Linked DNA regions of Struthio camelus. The protein of the gene in region 1 purifies or fractionates together with the protein of each later gene. This does not show direct contact. Links are inferred from orthologs where the notes say so. Each region holds a gene or a part of one and is shown on either strand. Other genes may lie near its edges.

Region 1 (8,059 bases):
ACTGAAAATGGGAGGTTGCGGCAAGGTGGTGACACTTGCCGTTATTATGCAAAAGAATCTGACTTTGTTTAAGGCTGCAATCCTGTGCCACAGAAACCAAGCTAGGCCCTCTCTGCAAATACTACTTCAAGCTATCCAGAAAAATGTTGGTGCCAGGAGAAAGGGCTGAATTCAAGAATGTCTTTTTAGCATTCCCCTTTTTACTAAAGCCCAAACAATGCAAGAAAGACGGAAAACATGACCCTCTTACCAAAGTGGGGGACTTGCCACCCAGTACTGTCTGATTAACACAGACAATGAAAGTTTACAGCTACTACTTCAGCAGCGCCTGCTTTCGCCGGTGGAGGAGCTAAACAGATTCTTTCAGTAGCACAGGACAGCTATAAAGTGTGGCCCTCTTAAGGGACCTGACAAAGGGAAATTGGTCTTCCTAGGAGCGCTGCACTTACTGTATGCGTGTAGTAGATTTGGTGTATTAGAAATACCATACCCACAATTTTTGTGCCCTGTTTTCCTTGTAGAACCCTATAATACAAGGGGAAAATGTGAAATAAAAAAGTTGAAGCAGTAGAAGTCTTACCTTATTTATGCTACTGTTATCATTATTACATTTATCAAAGCTCATTTTTTGTTCCTGGACAAGCATGTCGGCTTCAGTAGGTCAGCTCTCATGGCCGGGAGTGAAATATCAGGCTTCTGTTTAGTAAACATATTCTAGATAACATAAAAACGAATTCAGAAACAAGCAAGAACTTACCCAACAGAAGGATTCACAATTCTAGTGTACTCATAACACCTTCCAATGACAACGCTTTCCAGGTTTTGTGTTGTACCTTCACCTTTCCATTTATGTCCTTGGCCTTCAGAAAAGCTTTTCATAAACAGAAGAGAGACAAGTAAGAGAGAGAAAAAAAAGCTGCTCATTATGAATTCTTGACAACCCAAGTTCTTTAAAAAAAAGATTAAAAAGGAGAGTTAAATGATACAATTTAAATGGAAAACAGAAGGTTTAACAGGTAATATTTTCAAAACAGGCAGTAGCTCTGTACGCAAATGACAAAGTTACACGGAAATCTAAACTTTGCTGGAGAATGTAATCTAACTGTTTCCTGGAATGATTGCAGCACAAGGATACATCACTTCCTTAAATTTAAATGTTCTCAGCTTCGGAAAAACGTAGTTTTTAGATCAAGAGGTTGCCACCTGGTGATAACTAGACGGAATTACAACATATTTTTGTAAAAGAAAAAACACTTCCCATTTCAGTGTTATTTACAATGCCTTAGGCTTGCTGAATACTCATTGCAATCTTAAATGCTAAAACATCGCAAGTGCTTGCAAGCAACAAGCTTAAAAGTACTTTCATTTAATGTTAAAAAAGTGCTACCCTTTTTGCATATATTTCTCTAAAGGCTGAAAAAAAGGCTGAAATACATATCAAGAAGAAAATGAAATATGCAAGTCCGCATTCATAAAAAGCCAGATTTTCACGTTATCTTGCATCGCAGATAGGGGTAACAGTGGTCAGCTCTTCTATTTTTCCCCTGGATACTGGCAGCAAAATTTTGGCGTGATGACAAGTTTTAAACTATTCTTAGCGAACAAAAGTGTCTTGCAAACAGGAATAAATCATAATGAGAACCAAAAGGATTAAGGTATGCTTCCTGTGCATTGAAGAAATCTCTTCAACTTCCACTTATGTTTATTTTCCCTCCAGCTTCTCCTCTCCAAGTACTTTGTTAGATCATCAAATGGGATAAATTAATCCAGCCGTCACTGTAAATCTTCTGTTGTATACACCGCTGGGAAAAACAACCAAACTACTTTTTTTCCACCCCTTTTTAAAAAACTTCTCTTTTCAACCGGAGCGTAATTTGTCTATGGATTCACATTTCTGAGAAATGTGCTGATTCCTTTTATTGTATTAAATAGTCCTCATGCCTCAGTGAATACATATATCTTTATTAATTATGTCTTTATTTATATAGTGTTATGCTAACCTGGGTGCACCAGTACTCAGCTGATGGATTTTGCTGTAGGCAGAATCTTGCTAATTGTTGAGTAAATTGCTGATGATGGATTTCTCCTATAAATGTGATATAACAAGTTGATTTGTTATCTGCAGCATCTTTTTAGGAGTGCCAGAGTTATCCTGCAACAGATGTGCCATGTTGTGTTTGATATGCTTGAGACACAGCAAATGCTGTACTTCATTTCAGTTACTTTTGTGATGCATTTTCTCCATATTTCCTTTTTGACATCTGTGAAACATGATGGCCATGTTGATCAGGGACAAGGATATTAACCAAATGGTTTCAAGTTCACTGCTTCAGGTTTGGGCTTAGAGGCTTTCAATCATCCATGGAACTCAATGAATGATTTTTGTTATTAACTTCGCTGCAGTCAAGTCTTGCCCAGTCATTTCACGACTAAGAAAAACCAGAGGCATCACTCATGTGATGCTCTGTACAGAATAAGACAGAAATTTTCACTGATTTTTGCATCAAGACTGAAACGTCTAAGTAAAGTATACAGTGCATTAGAATGACATAAAAATGAATAGAGTTTTGGAACGGCTTTTCTGCAAGGACACACCAAGTTCGGACTCGCCAACTCTGGAAAGATGTGGATGCTGCTCAGTGGTATTCTGCAAGAAGACATGACATGTCATGCCATTCCAGAGGGAATGGAAATATATCCAACGGTTGCTGGGATCCCCATCTCAAGCTCTATTGACTTTCCTTTCCTCAATGGCCACTTTGAGAAACACAGCATTAGGCTACGTGGGTCTCTGATCTGACTCAGTACAGCCATCTTTAATGCACGTTCTTACGCAAATTTGATTAAAATATTTTGTGTGATGGCTAATCTAACACATTGCCAGGGAAATTGTTCCAACAGTTGGATAGCCTTATGGTTTAAGCATCAAGTCTGAACTTGTCTACCTTTAGCTTCCCATCACTGGATCTCATGATGTCCTTTTCTGTTATGTTACTCAAAACAGAAATAGTCTCTCCATGTAAATCCTTATAGACCATGATCAAGTCGCCTCTTAAACTTGTCCATGAAAAATTCAATTTTTTAATCTCATTATTAGGCACTTACTTTAGTAGTACTGTACTTCAGTGCCATGATTGGCTGTCCAGCTTGCCTCCCAAGCTTTGGCACTTCATGCTGGATGTAGATCACTGCCCCTAGCTGTCTGTCCACCTCTCCTACAAGAGGTTACTGCCCATGAAGCAGAGTCAGCAAGGCCAGCAGCATATCTGCGCTGGAGATACTCCGATTCACAAACTGCATATTAACTCAAAATCAAATTTAGCATATGTTTATATTCTGAACCCTTGGAGGATGAGGATCGGACATGTTCTCTCTTGTTATTTCTACCAGATGAGAGCGGCAACTTCCAGCAGAAGAAGGGAGTAACAGCTGGGAGCATTAATCTCCCGTATTACTCAGGCATGGCCTGCTGGCAGACTGACCCCAGTTCTGTAGGATTTCAAGCTTTACGGTTGGAAATATGACCTTAAATTTGCCTGCATTAACAAGCTCTTCTGTAAGCAACAGACTTAACCAAACACTGTTTCTTGAGGGCTTGCATCTCTGTCATAAATCTCAATCGTAAATCCTACTTAGAGCACTAACCCTCCCTCTCCCACTTGTCTGCTGCTATACTCACTGTGCAAGAAATGGTGGGTACTGGGGGTAGTGCAGAGCCAGAATTGTCTTTACTGGTCAAGCAGTAACTGGTCAAGCAGTAAATGCAACCATGTACTGGCTGGCCGGCTGTATCATACCTGTGTTTTGCCTTCCTTTCCCTCTCTCATACATAGCTGCTGATTTTCCCCAAAGTTGCACAAATCTAAATTCCTTTAAGATTTGTAAACCTTTGTCAAATATGATTAAGTAGGCCAACAGGTTCAGAAGTTTCTGGGAGGAAGAAAGGGTGGATGGAAAAGGAAGCACCCAACACTGCAATTGCTCAAGCCTCATTTCCGTCAGTAGAAAGATTGCTCAGTACTAGACGATCTAGATAACTTTGATCATGTGATGTGTTCTTCTTAAATTATCTACTAATTTTACTAGCAATAATTTCATATTTTATTCCAAAGCATTACTATGTTGAGGAACACTTACTAAAAATAAGTACTGCAGGCCTTTGCTCAAAATATTTCCATCTGTTTATAACTAATTTTTTCACATTTGTTAACTCACCAGCTTTTAATCTGTTTAAGATATACAACTTGGATTTTGTCTAGTTTTCAGTCAGGAACTTCTGCATTTACTGTATCTTTGGCAATTTGGGGGCGGGGTGATTTATAACACGTGGACATGTGGGTGGACAGCGTTACAGCTTCATTTTGCTAACCTAACCTGTAATCTCAAGGCCGCTAAGGATTCCTGGATCTTTCGAGGCGTTTTAGGGGGGGACGAACCCCGAAGGGCAGCGCCCCTGCCCCTTCCCCCCTCGGACGTTAAACACAGGCAGCGCTTGGCGGGTACGGCAGCCCGGGCCCCCCGGCCGGGGCACTCTGCTCAGCACCGCGCGGGGTTTTGGGGGGCCGGGCCCTCGGGCCCCCCGGCCACACGCAGCCGCGGCGGCGGCGGAGCCGGGCCGCTTGCGCCACGGCAGGGGACAGGCCCGGGCCCGTCGGCCTGCAGCCTCCGGGCGCCGCCCCGACGCGCTCCCTCGCTCCTGCCTGCCGGGGGCCTCTGGCATCCAGCCTGCTGCCGCCCACGCTCGGCGGGAAGGAGCTGGGCGCGGCAGGAGGCCGATGGCGGAGGCGCGTTGTTGCTGACACAGCGCCGCGGCCCCGGCGGGAGGCGGGCGAGGGCAGCGGCCTCCCAGGGCGCCGCAGGGCTCGCCGAGCCTGGCATGCGCATGCGCGCGGCGGGGCGCCGGGCGGCGCCGCCTGAGCCGCGGCGGCGCTCGCGGGGCGGCCCCTGTCACGTGGCGCCCGGGCCGGCGGGGCGCCCTCCGCGCCGTGCCGCGCATGCGCAGCGCGCATGTTGCCGCCGCCAGTGCCGGCCGCGGCGAGGCTCTATGGGGAGAACATGGCTCCCTTCCCCGAGGAGGTGGACGTCTTCTCGGCGCCCCACTGGCGGATGAAGCAGCTCGTGGGGCTCTACTGCGACAAGGTAGCGGGCCGCGCCGCGGCCGCCCCTGCCCCGCTCCGCTCGCTCCGCCGGAGGGGCGAGGGAGGATTTCGCGTAGTGCGCAGCTGTCAGCGCGCCCCGCGCCGGCCCCGGCCCCGGCTCCCCCCGCCGCTGCCGCGGGGCGCCCCGGCCGCCGGAGCCGCCTTCCCCGCGCCCCGCTCTGCCCGGTCCCGGCCCCGGCCGCGTTTGGTGGCCTTGCCCGTGAGGCAGCAGCGCTCCCTCCGCCGCGGGACCGCGCCTGCCGCGCTCCTTCCCCCGCCGGGCTGGGAGCGGGGCCGGCGCCCACCCCGGCTGCCCCTTCCTGGAGGTGGGGCCGCGGCCTGCGCAGCCCCGGGCGGGGCGGACCCCCGAGGCGGCCGGGGGTGCCGGGGTGGAGCGGGGGGCAGGGGGTAAACAAACCTCTGGTGGTGTTTTGGTGTGTTTTGGTGCTTTTTTTTTTTTTTTTCCTGTAAATTGCCCGGTGCCCGGCAGCACCGCCGGACACCGGTCGTGGGCAGTGCGCTCGTTAACGGTCTGTGAGGAGCAACGTTTGTTTGCGTTTTAAAGTACAGCGTTTAATTGGTGAGCACCTGAAGGGTACGCTAAGGAAGTTTTGGTTTTTAAATAATGTTGCAAAAATAACTTCCGTTCTTGCATCAGGGCAGTGAGTAATCCGAGCTGGTGTGTCACCTGAAAGGCAAACTTCACTGCAGCACGTTCAAGCAGAACTGAAGGGTTTCAGGGAAACACTTGAAAGCCAGCACGCAAACTGAAAGTAGTGCCTCCCCCCTCTGTGGGCATAAACGGCTGTGGGGGAACCGGAGTCGTTTTAGCAAGCGTCAAAAAGGAGTGTGAAGTTGCATGAGAGACAGCGTAACAGCTGCCAACAGGCTGGGGGAGTCCCCCCTTCCCCTATTTCCCCAATGTCTGGTGCTCACCGGACCCCTTTTTGTGAGCCTGTTTGAATTGGGCAGAGAAAATCAGGGGAAGAAAAAGATGAGAGTGTTACCATTTAGCAATGTCTGACCAGATCTAGCTGTCTTCTGTAATTTCACTGTAAGTCGTTTTTGCAAGTGTGTTTGCAGTTAAGTTAATTTTGCAATCTGTGGCTGCATGAAAACTTGTGAAGCCTTAAGAGAGGGGATATTGCAGAAAGGGAAAGAAACACCTGAAAAAGGCTGCGACTTTTTTTTCCCACTAGCAGCCCTGCTAGCATTGTTAACAGTAGTTGAGCAAGTTTTCAACCTCCAGATCTTCTAGTCATTTACTACTGTTTTTGGTTTTTTGTTCCCGAGATGCATTTCTGTCACTCTTATTGAACCTCCCACAAAGTTTTGACCGAATTTATTAGATTGGCAAAATTTGATTAAAACCATCCAGTCTGCTATGAGCATACGCTCTCTTTTTTTTTTTTTTTCAATTGTAGACAAGAGCGTGCTAACTTTCTTTTCTTCTTTTAAACAAGCATAACCACAAATGAATCCTTGATGGGTTTTTTATGTAAGCAGGGAGGATTTATAGTACTTAATCCTACATTCTCTGGTCCTGTTACAGAGTTTGGAGTCTGTGCCTGGCTCGTGACCTTTGTATTTCAGTCACGATAGCTTTATATCAGAAAAATTTCTCTGAACTTTCCTTCTTGTGTGATTAAGATGTTGTAGTTAGCTCAGACTGTATTTCTGCTTACATGGCAATTATAATCCGCGAAGCTATGCTCTTTATCAATTTAGTGAATCCTTGAGGAGTCTTTAATTTCAACTACATGTGTACCTGCTGCTGCTAATGTTCCCTGTACGTTGTAATATAGTTGCCATCTGTTAGTGCCTCCTCTTACTAAATTCCACCAATTGTTAGTAGGGGTGAAACTGGTGCATCTATGCTTTTCAGGGAATCGGTTATAAGGTTAGGATGAGTAAAAGGCAGAGGTACTCCAGTGATGCTTTAGGACTGAGATAAAGTTTAGATTGTTCTTCTAAGACCTCATATGAGACAGAAGAGTAAATCGGAAGTGTAAGATGTTTGACTGCTAGCAACAATTTAAAAGTTCAGTAACTGTCTTGATGCAAAGATCTTACCATACGTTTTCTGTGTACTTGAATGGCATTTTAGGACCGTTGTATGCAGTGCCTTTACTTACATAATAGGAATAACTATTCCTATAGACGGTCTTTGGAGTAAAATTTTTTTTCCTAATGTCTAACATCATCCATACTATTTATTAATAGAGCTGATTTCTTTTTCCTATCTCCAGTGAATGGCTGTTTGTTTTCAGGAGAGTCTTCTGCTTATTTGCAAATTGTAGCCCTGTCCTCCATCTTGATCTGCTTTTTGGACTAAGTGAACAGATTCATTCAACTTTACCACATGGGTGATGCGTTCTGTGCCTCTTGGTGTTCTTGTTGCTTTTGTCAGGACTGCTAAACTGCAGTTTTGTGACAATCTAAGCCATCTAACTGCTGCTGTCATGATTATTGGCCCTTCCTTCCTCCCATCAGCATGTTAAGTGACTCACAAAGGCTGTAATTGGCAGAGAACTTTTTTTACTTTTTTTTTTTTTTTTAGGTGGTAGTTTTTCTGCTCACCAGCAAGCACTAGTCAGATGAGTACTGAAGCCAATGGGAGCTGGAGGGTGGGACTGTGACAGCCCGGCAACTAGGTTGGCTTCAGCTGCTGTGAAACCTCAGCCTAATTTTGTCTAGATTTTCTTGAAATCCGTTGTGCAAAACATGACACTGTTGATGTTGAATAGAGCTTCTTTTTTTTCCCCCCCTGTTTATTTATTTATTTTTAACAGCACCGTATTCACTTTATGCCTCACTGTAACCCTATGCTTATCTGTGAATTGTTTCTGGCAGCACTCAAAATTTTCCTTTCATATTTGTGCCTTTGACGCCTTCTGTCCTAACGTAGTACTCCGCACTCT
Region 2 (7,130 bases), on another chromosome or scaffold:
TATAGGAATCTGTCCTTACACTAGTACACTCAACTCTTTATTCACAACCTAGCTCACGGACACCAAAGACTATGTAAAACACTCACAGGAAGTTAGATCAACTAATTTTTAATCTGCACAAACAACTCTTTTAGACCCACAAACGATATCCAAACTATTGCACTATTTCTGAAGAGAGATCAGAAGCAACTGAAACATAAAAGTATTGTTATGCAAGAGGCTGTGTTGATCACCTTCCACTTAATATGTTGCCTAAGGCTACAGTGAGAAATATTGTTTTTCTGACTAGAGTGTCTTAACCTTTCATTGAGCCTGAGAAGTCATGAACTGGAGGAAAACGTCATCTGTCCCCTCATTCCTTATGCCGTCAAATAAACTATTTTACCTTACTTTCAAGGCAACTGCAAAGACTATCCTTGATGTATTATCTCTCATTCACTACCAAGAGACTGTCATTGCTTCCAAAACCACGATGCTAGCTTACAAACACGTACTTTTTACTCCATTCCTTATGGGATTTGTTATGTGTTTGGAACACAGGCTGCGGTGGTAAGGCTGCTGATCAAAATTTGTAAAATCACTATAATTAATATCTTATTTGTCATATTTTCTCCAAAAAGACTTGACACTGACTTGTCTGTCAGTATGGAGACTATCAGCTATTGTTCTGAATGATGCTGTGTATCTTTCTATACTCTACACGCTGTATTTATCTTTTATGTGAGCACTTGGAAGCAAGGGCCATCTTGCTCATACAGTACCTCACACAATCAAATCTATAACTAGGACTTAAAAGGACCACACCAGTAAAAATACCAATATCATCCATGAATAATTAAACTTATTTATTACATTGCATATTAAAAAATCATGAAAATTATTAATAGATTTTTAAAACTTTTGATCATTTCTGAGCTTTTTTTTTTAAGAGGATGAAACAACTGAATTCATAGGACAAATAGCAGAGGGATTTTAGGACTCCTTCAGTCTCTTACACATTTTAACATAACCTCAGTAAAGCAAGCATGTATTGATTTTGCAATTTAGCAAACAGAATATAAGAGCTACTATAAAGAATTATCTTATGCTTGCAGGTACGAAACGGAGTCTCTCTAACTGCTCCACAGTTCAGGTGGTTGCACTGAAGGAAATCTCCAGAATCCAGCTGGTGATTTTGCAGCAGGTACCCCAAGAAGACATTCACAATCCTATCTGTTCCCTTTATGCTGTTCTATCGTCCTTGAAACTGCATATTTTGCTAGTCACCTCTGGATTTGAGCTTTCATGCCCTACACAACAAATTGATAAGAAATCAGTATATTTTTGTAAAAAGTGGCTCACGTGATCTCTGGATATACTTATATTAGAAATAAACTGCACAGACTGGTCAAGAAAAACCATTTCAGTTCATTCTTGTACTTGCTAGTTTGTCTTGACTCACCTCACCTAAACGATGGAAGCAGGTATTTTGAAAAATCCTATTGACTTAATGGGTTCCATATACAAGGACAGTAATTTGTCTGTTGACAAAATCAAATCAAAGGAATCAAGAGTATAAAAAACAACGTAAATCACTACAGATATGTTCAGTTTTATTTGCCAGTGTTCATGAATGCATGAACCACATGGACATTCCTACACTCCTGTTCTGGCTTTAGTGTAGGACAGGTCTGTGAACACTTTTGAGTATGTGACTCTCAGCTTTTTCCCTTCTTTGCCAAAATCGCTGTCAGAACGTAGGTGCAGAGTAGCTGTGAGCTACAGGATGCACGTAAGAGAACTATTACACTGGGAAATCCACAGGTTCTAATTTCCACATACTCCATCCGATTTTGCACATAACCCTCAGAGAGTTCCTAAATGAATGTTTTCTCCGTCTGCTACTAGTAGGCCAAAGAAGCACCATCAAAACGCATTTAATGTCTGCAAGGAGAATGCAACACATCAAGATTTCCCCTACTGTAACATACACCCTCAGCTCTGCAGGAAGTTTATAGAATCCAGTACCAAAAATAGGAGCACATTAAATAAAGATAACAGGCAGCTCTACCAAACCCCTAGGAATTTCAACCTAGAGCTTTGGTAATACCTCAGGTCTATGTCAAGGTTATTTTGAGCGAGGTGAAATACTTGTGAATGTGCCTAGTACTGAATCTGTTGTTCCTTATGACTCTCTTTCTCTAAGAGACGAGCCATGAGACACTGATAACGGTAAAGTTACATGATATAGTTTGTGTTATCACCACAGAAAACCCAGGTTCCTGTGGAACTTCTTGGCATAATTCTTGGAGGACTTCTTTGACAGGGAACCCACAGGAAAGAATGCCAAAATTTTTCTTTTGTAGGATAAGCTTATTGTAGCATATTTTTTTCCTAATATTTGCATCCTTCTGTCAAACAAAAGTTGCTGATGACTCTCTAAAACAATCTATAACTTCTACAGAAACAGGTTAAGTGGGGTGATTTTGGCAGCTTCTGCAGCAAAAGTCCTCAAGAGCAAATGGCAAATAATATTTTTATCTGCTACATCACAAGAATTCAAAGCTGTCTGGAGGAATAAACCCACCTCACAGTCATTATACAAGCAACAATTTCTGAAGTAGTATACAAATATTATTTCCAATTCCTCCTCACTATGAGGATATTATACCCCAAAATTTCATCACGTAGCAGGAATTCTAGCTGATCAGCTAGTTGGTGGAATAAAACCTGGTATACAGACCATAGTGCTAACTGAAAAGATCCTGGTATTCCGTCATATAATCTGTAAAAGTGACATATGGTTTTCAAAAAACCTAAAAGCAGATCCCAGGCTCGGTATCTCTCACCTCTAGCTCACAAAAGTGCCTTCCAGCTCTGGAGAGCTGCTATAAAACGCATCGCTGTCCAACTTTCAGCCCATGCAACAGCATTTGTTTCTGTCTGCAGTGGTGTAGTGCAACAAGCAGCATACTGAATCTGCTGGGGCAGCACCGTTCTCACCAGACTCCATGCAGGCGTCATGCACAACAGCATTAACTGCAATTTCTGTAAAGTACTTTTAAACAACAGAACCACAATATGTGACTTTCCTTCAAAACACTAAATCTTTCGAAGCAGTAAATCTCAATTCCTTTCAAATTATTTTTATTTCTAATTAACCAAAAGGGAAATTACCTCACTCAGCCTGAGGACTACATTAATGTTTTTCTTACATAAAAAATAAAATGTAGTGGCTTACATGTACGATGACTTGATACAGTAGGACAGATGTGTCACTTAAGCACAAAGTAATAAAACAAATTACTCAAAAAACCCTATGGGGATCATTTTTTTGCAAAGAGGAACAAACATATGACCCAGATGACTGCATACAAGATGTTTATGCAGGAGTAAAAGCTTTAACCCTATTATAAAGGGGTCTATAAAGCCAAAACATAAAGCATCATTACATTCACTTTATCACTTCAGTTTATTTAACAGTTTGTCATATTTACTACTATACACAGCTTGACTTTTCAAATTATCTACACGATAAAAGAAATCACCTTAATCAATAACATTTTGCATTTAAAACGCTGTTTAGTTTACCTGTCTTCGCAAGCACTAAGTAAACAGCAAAGGCGCTCAAACAAAAACTTTAGAGAGCCACCGACTGGAACGAAGTCATTCCCTTTCCCCCCTCAGACCTTATGTTTAACGCCAGGCAACACTTAAGTCACTGCACGCGGCCTCCCAGCTCACCAATACGCCCTTTAACGCTCCACTTCCACGGCCAGAGACGAGGTGCTACCTCTGTCTCTCGACAGCTGAACAAAACCGCGGCAAAAAAAACCCACTTCTAAATTCACCTCCGACTCCCGCGACGCGCATCCCTACTACAAAAGCGGCGAGCGACAACGGCGGAGGTCACGGAGGGCCGCCACCCGCCCGCCCGCAGAGGGAACCGCCACCCGCACCTCAGGCGCCTCAGCTTCCTCCTCTGCCCCCTCCCCCCGCGGCCAACGGCCAATCGCCAACGGCCCCGCGCGCGCGGTGCGGCGCCGAAGCGCGTCCGGGCTCCTTCCGCCGGCGGCGCGCCGCGCCGGAAGGGCCGCCCGCCTCGCGGCGCAGAGCTGCCGGCGGCCATGGTGGGCCCGGGCGGCGGCGGCGCGGCGCCGCTGGAGAACGCCAACCCCCTCATCTACCGCCGCTCGGGGGAGCGGCCGGTGACGGCGCGGGAGGAGGACGACGAGCTGCCCGACTCCATCGACGACCGCGAGATCTTCGATATCCTGCCGGGGCAGGGAGGGCCGGGCCGGGGTTGGGGGTGGGGGGGGCCGGGGCGGCGGCCGGTGGCGCAGCCGCCCGCAGCGCGTTTTCCTCAGCCTGGCACATCTCATCCGCTCCATCAACGACCCCGAGCACCCGCTCACCCTGGAGGAGCTGAACGTCGTGGAGCAGGTCCGCGTCAAGGCGAGTGCTCTGCCAGGCTTGTCCAAACGCCGCGGCTTAGTTTCCGTGTTCCCGTGGCCGTGAAAGGAGAGTTAGCGTAGACTTGTGCTTCGCTCAACCGTAACGTATGAAAATGACAAGGAGGAAAACGATGAGCAGCAGAGCGGAGCTGCAAGCTGCGTTTCACACGCAGTGCCTGCTGCTGGCTTGTGATACGGTCAGTGAGTTTTGTACATAGAGAGTGTTTGCTTTTCGACAGGTGAATGACGCTGAAAGTACCGTAGCAGTGGAGTTTACACCCACGATTCCTCACTGCAGCATGGCGACATTAATTGGCCTGTCCATAAAAGTAAAACTGATTAGATCTCTGCCTGAGAGATTTAAGGTGAGTAATAGAATCAGTCCAGAAAGCAGAAGAAGGCGGTGTGTTTTTAAAAAACTGACAACTAACTTTAAGTGAAAAGCAAATTAAAGTGAAAACTAACTAGAGCTTTTCTTCATCTCCTCATATTATGGGGGAAGGGAAACACTACAAGAATCAGAAGGCACTAAACTAAAGAGTGGATACAGAATGCCTGCTCTCTGAAGGTCGAGTCAAAGGCAAACAGGAGCACGATGGGGAATGACATTTAGTTCTTTGTGGCACCCTAGCTCCTTAAGGGTGAGAATCTCACTTTTATGAATGGGGATTAGAGGCCTGTGTTTTACGCAGCTGCCTGAAGGAGGCGTAAAGCAGATCAGAGCGCAGCATGCAGTGCAGGCTTTTGCCTGGAATCCAGATTTTAGACTTTGTTTTGTTTTGCTATATACAATCACTGGCTTTGACAAGAACGTGTGTGTGTGTTTTTAATTGTCTTGTTTTCCTTGTTTAATTATTTGAGTCCGAGCTTCCGGTGTGTTGTTGGCTTGTCCTCTCTCTTCTTCTTTTGTGACTCTTTTTCTCCTTTTAAGGTGGATGTTCATATAACACCAGGAACACACGCCTCTGAGCATGCAGGTGAGCTTTTTAGTGCTTTGTTGTGTGTTTTTCTTTACACTTTTAATCTTGCAAATTAGAGTGAGAGATACTCTTGCGTCTGCAGAGCAGCTGTTGAGTATCTGGACTTCACACACAGCCCCTTCCACCAGATGTTACAGAACCAGAATGCATAATAATAAAACTTAGATATGTCATGCACCTTACCTGAAACGTTTCCTCAGACAGTTTGCGTTCTCAAATAGTCCCCAATTTGCCTGCATTATGGAGGGCTCAGAAAATGAGCAGAAGCTGAGGGTAAATTTCTTATTACAGCTATACATGCATAGCTCACTGCTGGTGAATCATAAATAGCCTCCTTGTTTAACTTGTGATAATATGGTAGCTTTGACTTTATATTACAACTCTGTAGTGTGCTCAGCATCTGCAGAATTACAAGTCTACCTGAGTATCATAGCAACAGTGTGATTATCAGTCTCAACGTATAATGTTTTTAAAAAGACATTATATACCAATGTTTTGACAAGTTTTATATATATATTTTTTTTCCCTGAACAGTTAATAAACAGCTTGCTGATAAAGAACGTGTAGCAGCTGCTTTGGAAAACTCTCACTTACTGGAGGTGGTGAATCAGTGCTTGTCTGCTCGATCATAATTGCCTGATGAGGAAATCTTTGGTATTATGCTTTTGTTAAATTAATTTTGTATATAAGTGGTGATGCAAGTGTTTCTTTATCTATGTATCTATAAGCAAAATAAAGGGACTTGGATTTTCTTAAAGAAATGTTTCATTACTTCTACAAAAATTAATATGTAGGAAATTAGCTTACAGGCAGGTACACAAGTATTATGAATATTGACTTTTTAAGTTTATTAGCTCAAGCAGAGTAGGATTTTTCTGGACATATCTTTAGAAAGATCTGTTTGAACTTGGTTTTAATGGAATTCTGACCATCCTAAACCAAAGATTAGTTATGAACTGCATTTTAGAAGTGGGTTTTACACATTGACCAAGCAAATTAGCAGTTAAAATCTTTCCATTCATATGATTATTTTGGACTGTTAATATAATTTTAGCTTCAAACATTGAGATTTTTACAAGTCAATGCGTGCAAAGACATAACATGCCAGTAGCAAAAAAATGTAAACACTTCTAAATCATCTATTTGTTTTTTATGATATTGACTTGGATTTGCCAAAGAGGGAGGGCTCTCTATACCTGTATGAAATGTGATTATTTTTAACTACTCATTACTTCTGGTAAGTAATTTCCAGAAGTTCTATTTCTGAGGTAGATTTTTTTTTTCTGCACCTGTCACAGCCTAGGAGGGAGTTATGCATAGTTTTCAGTATGAACAGTCCAGCTACTCCCTGCTGAAGACTTTCCTGGTAAAGTTTGACAGCTAAATCATACGTTTTGCTTTAAGGATATATTCAGATTTAGTACTAATACTTATCCCATGTTACTGGGCTGGAAAATACGGCACTTACTAAACTGTTGTCTGTGGTGGAAATTGACAATAGAAAAATTCATTTAGATTTCCATGATTAACTTTAAGAGATGTTTTTAATCCTAGACCACATGAAAGGAAAAAAAAAAAAAAGAAAAAAAAAAACAGACTGTTAAAGAAATAGACCAATAAAGTTTTTTGGTTGCTACATGCATGCAGTGTTATGTATCAATTATCAAGTACCTTCACCATCAGCAATTAGCTAGAAAGTGAGTAACTAGTATACTTT

Evidence for each region. The genes of interacting proteins can lie anywhere in the genome.
Region 2: the proteins of FBXL5 (region 1) and CIAO2B purify together in Homo sapiens (affinity purification with mass spectrometry; 3 studies listed by BioGRID and IntAct, counting the BioPlex papers as one, with this or other methods). This does not show direct contact. The link is inferred for Struthio camelus from reciprocal best matches to the Homo sapiens genes FBXL5 and CIAO2B.

What each region holds. Positions count from the first base shown.
Region 1 is NC_090945.1:70,559,035-70,567,093, forward strand, and holds the start of FBXL5 (F-box/LRR-repeat protein 5), read left to right. Parts: upstream 1-4,934; 5' UTR 4,935-5,007; coding exon 5,008-5,139; intron 5,140-8,059. Other genes in the region: ADP-ribosyl cyclase/cyclic ADP-ribose hydrolase 2, read right to left, coding at 758-924.
Region 2 is NC_090951.1:11,244,797-11,251,926, reverse strand, and holds the start of CIAO2B (cytosolic iron-sulfur assembly component 2B), read left to right. Parts: upstream 1-4,022; 5' UTR 4,023-4,106; coding exon 4,107-4,248; intron 4,249-4,354; coding exon 4,355-4,434; intron 4,435-4,672; coding exon 4,673-4,798; intron 4,799-5,364; coding exon 5,365-5,410; intron 5,411-5,947; coding exon 5,948-6,045; 3' UTR 6,046-7,130.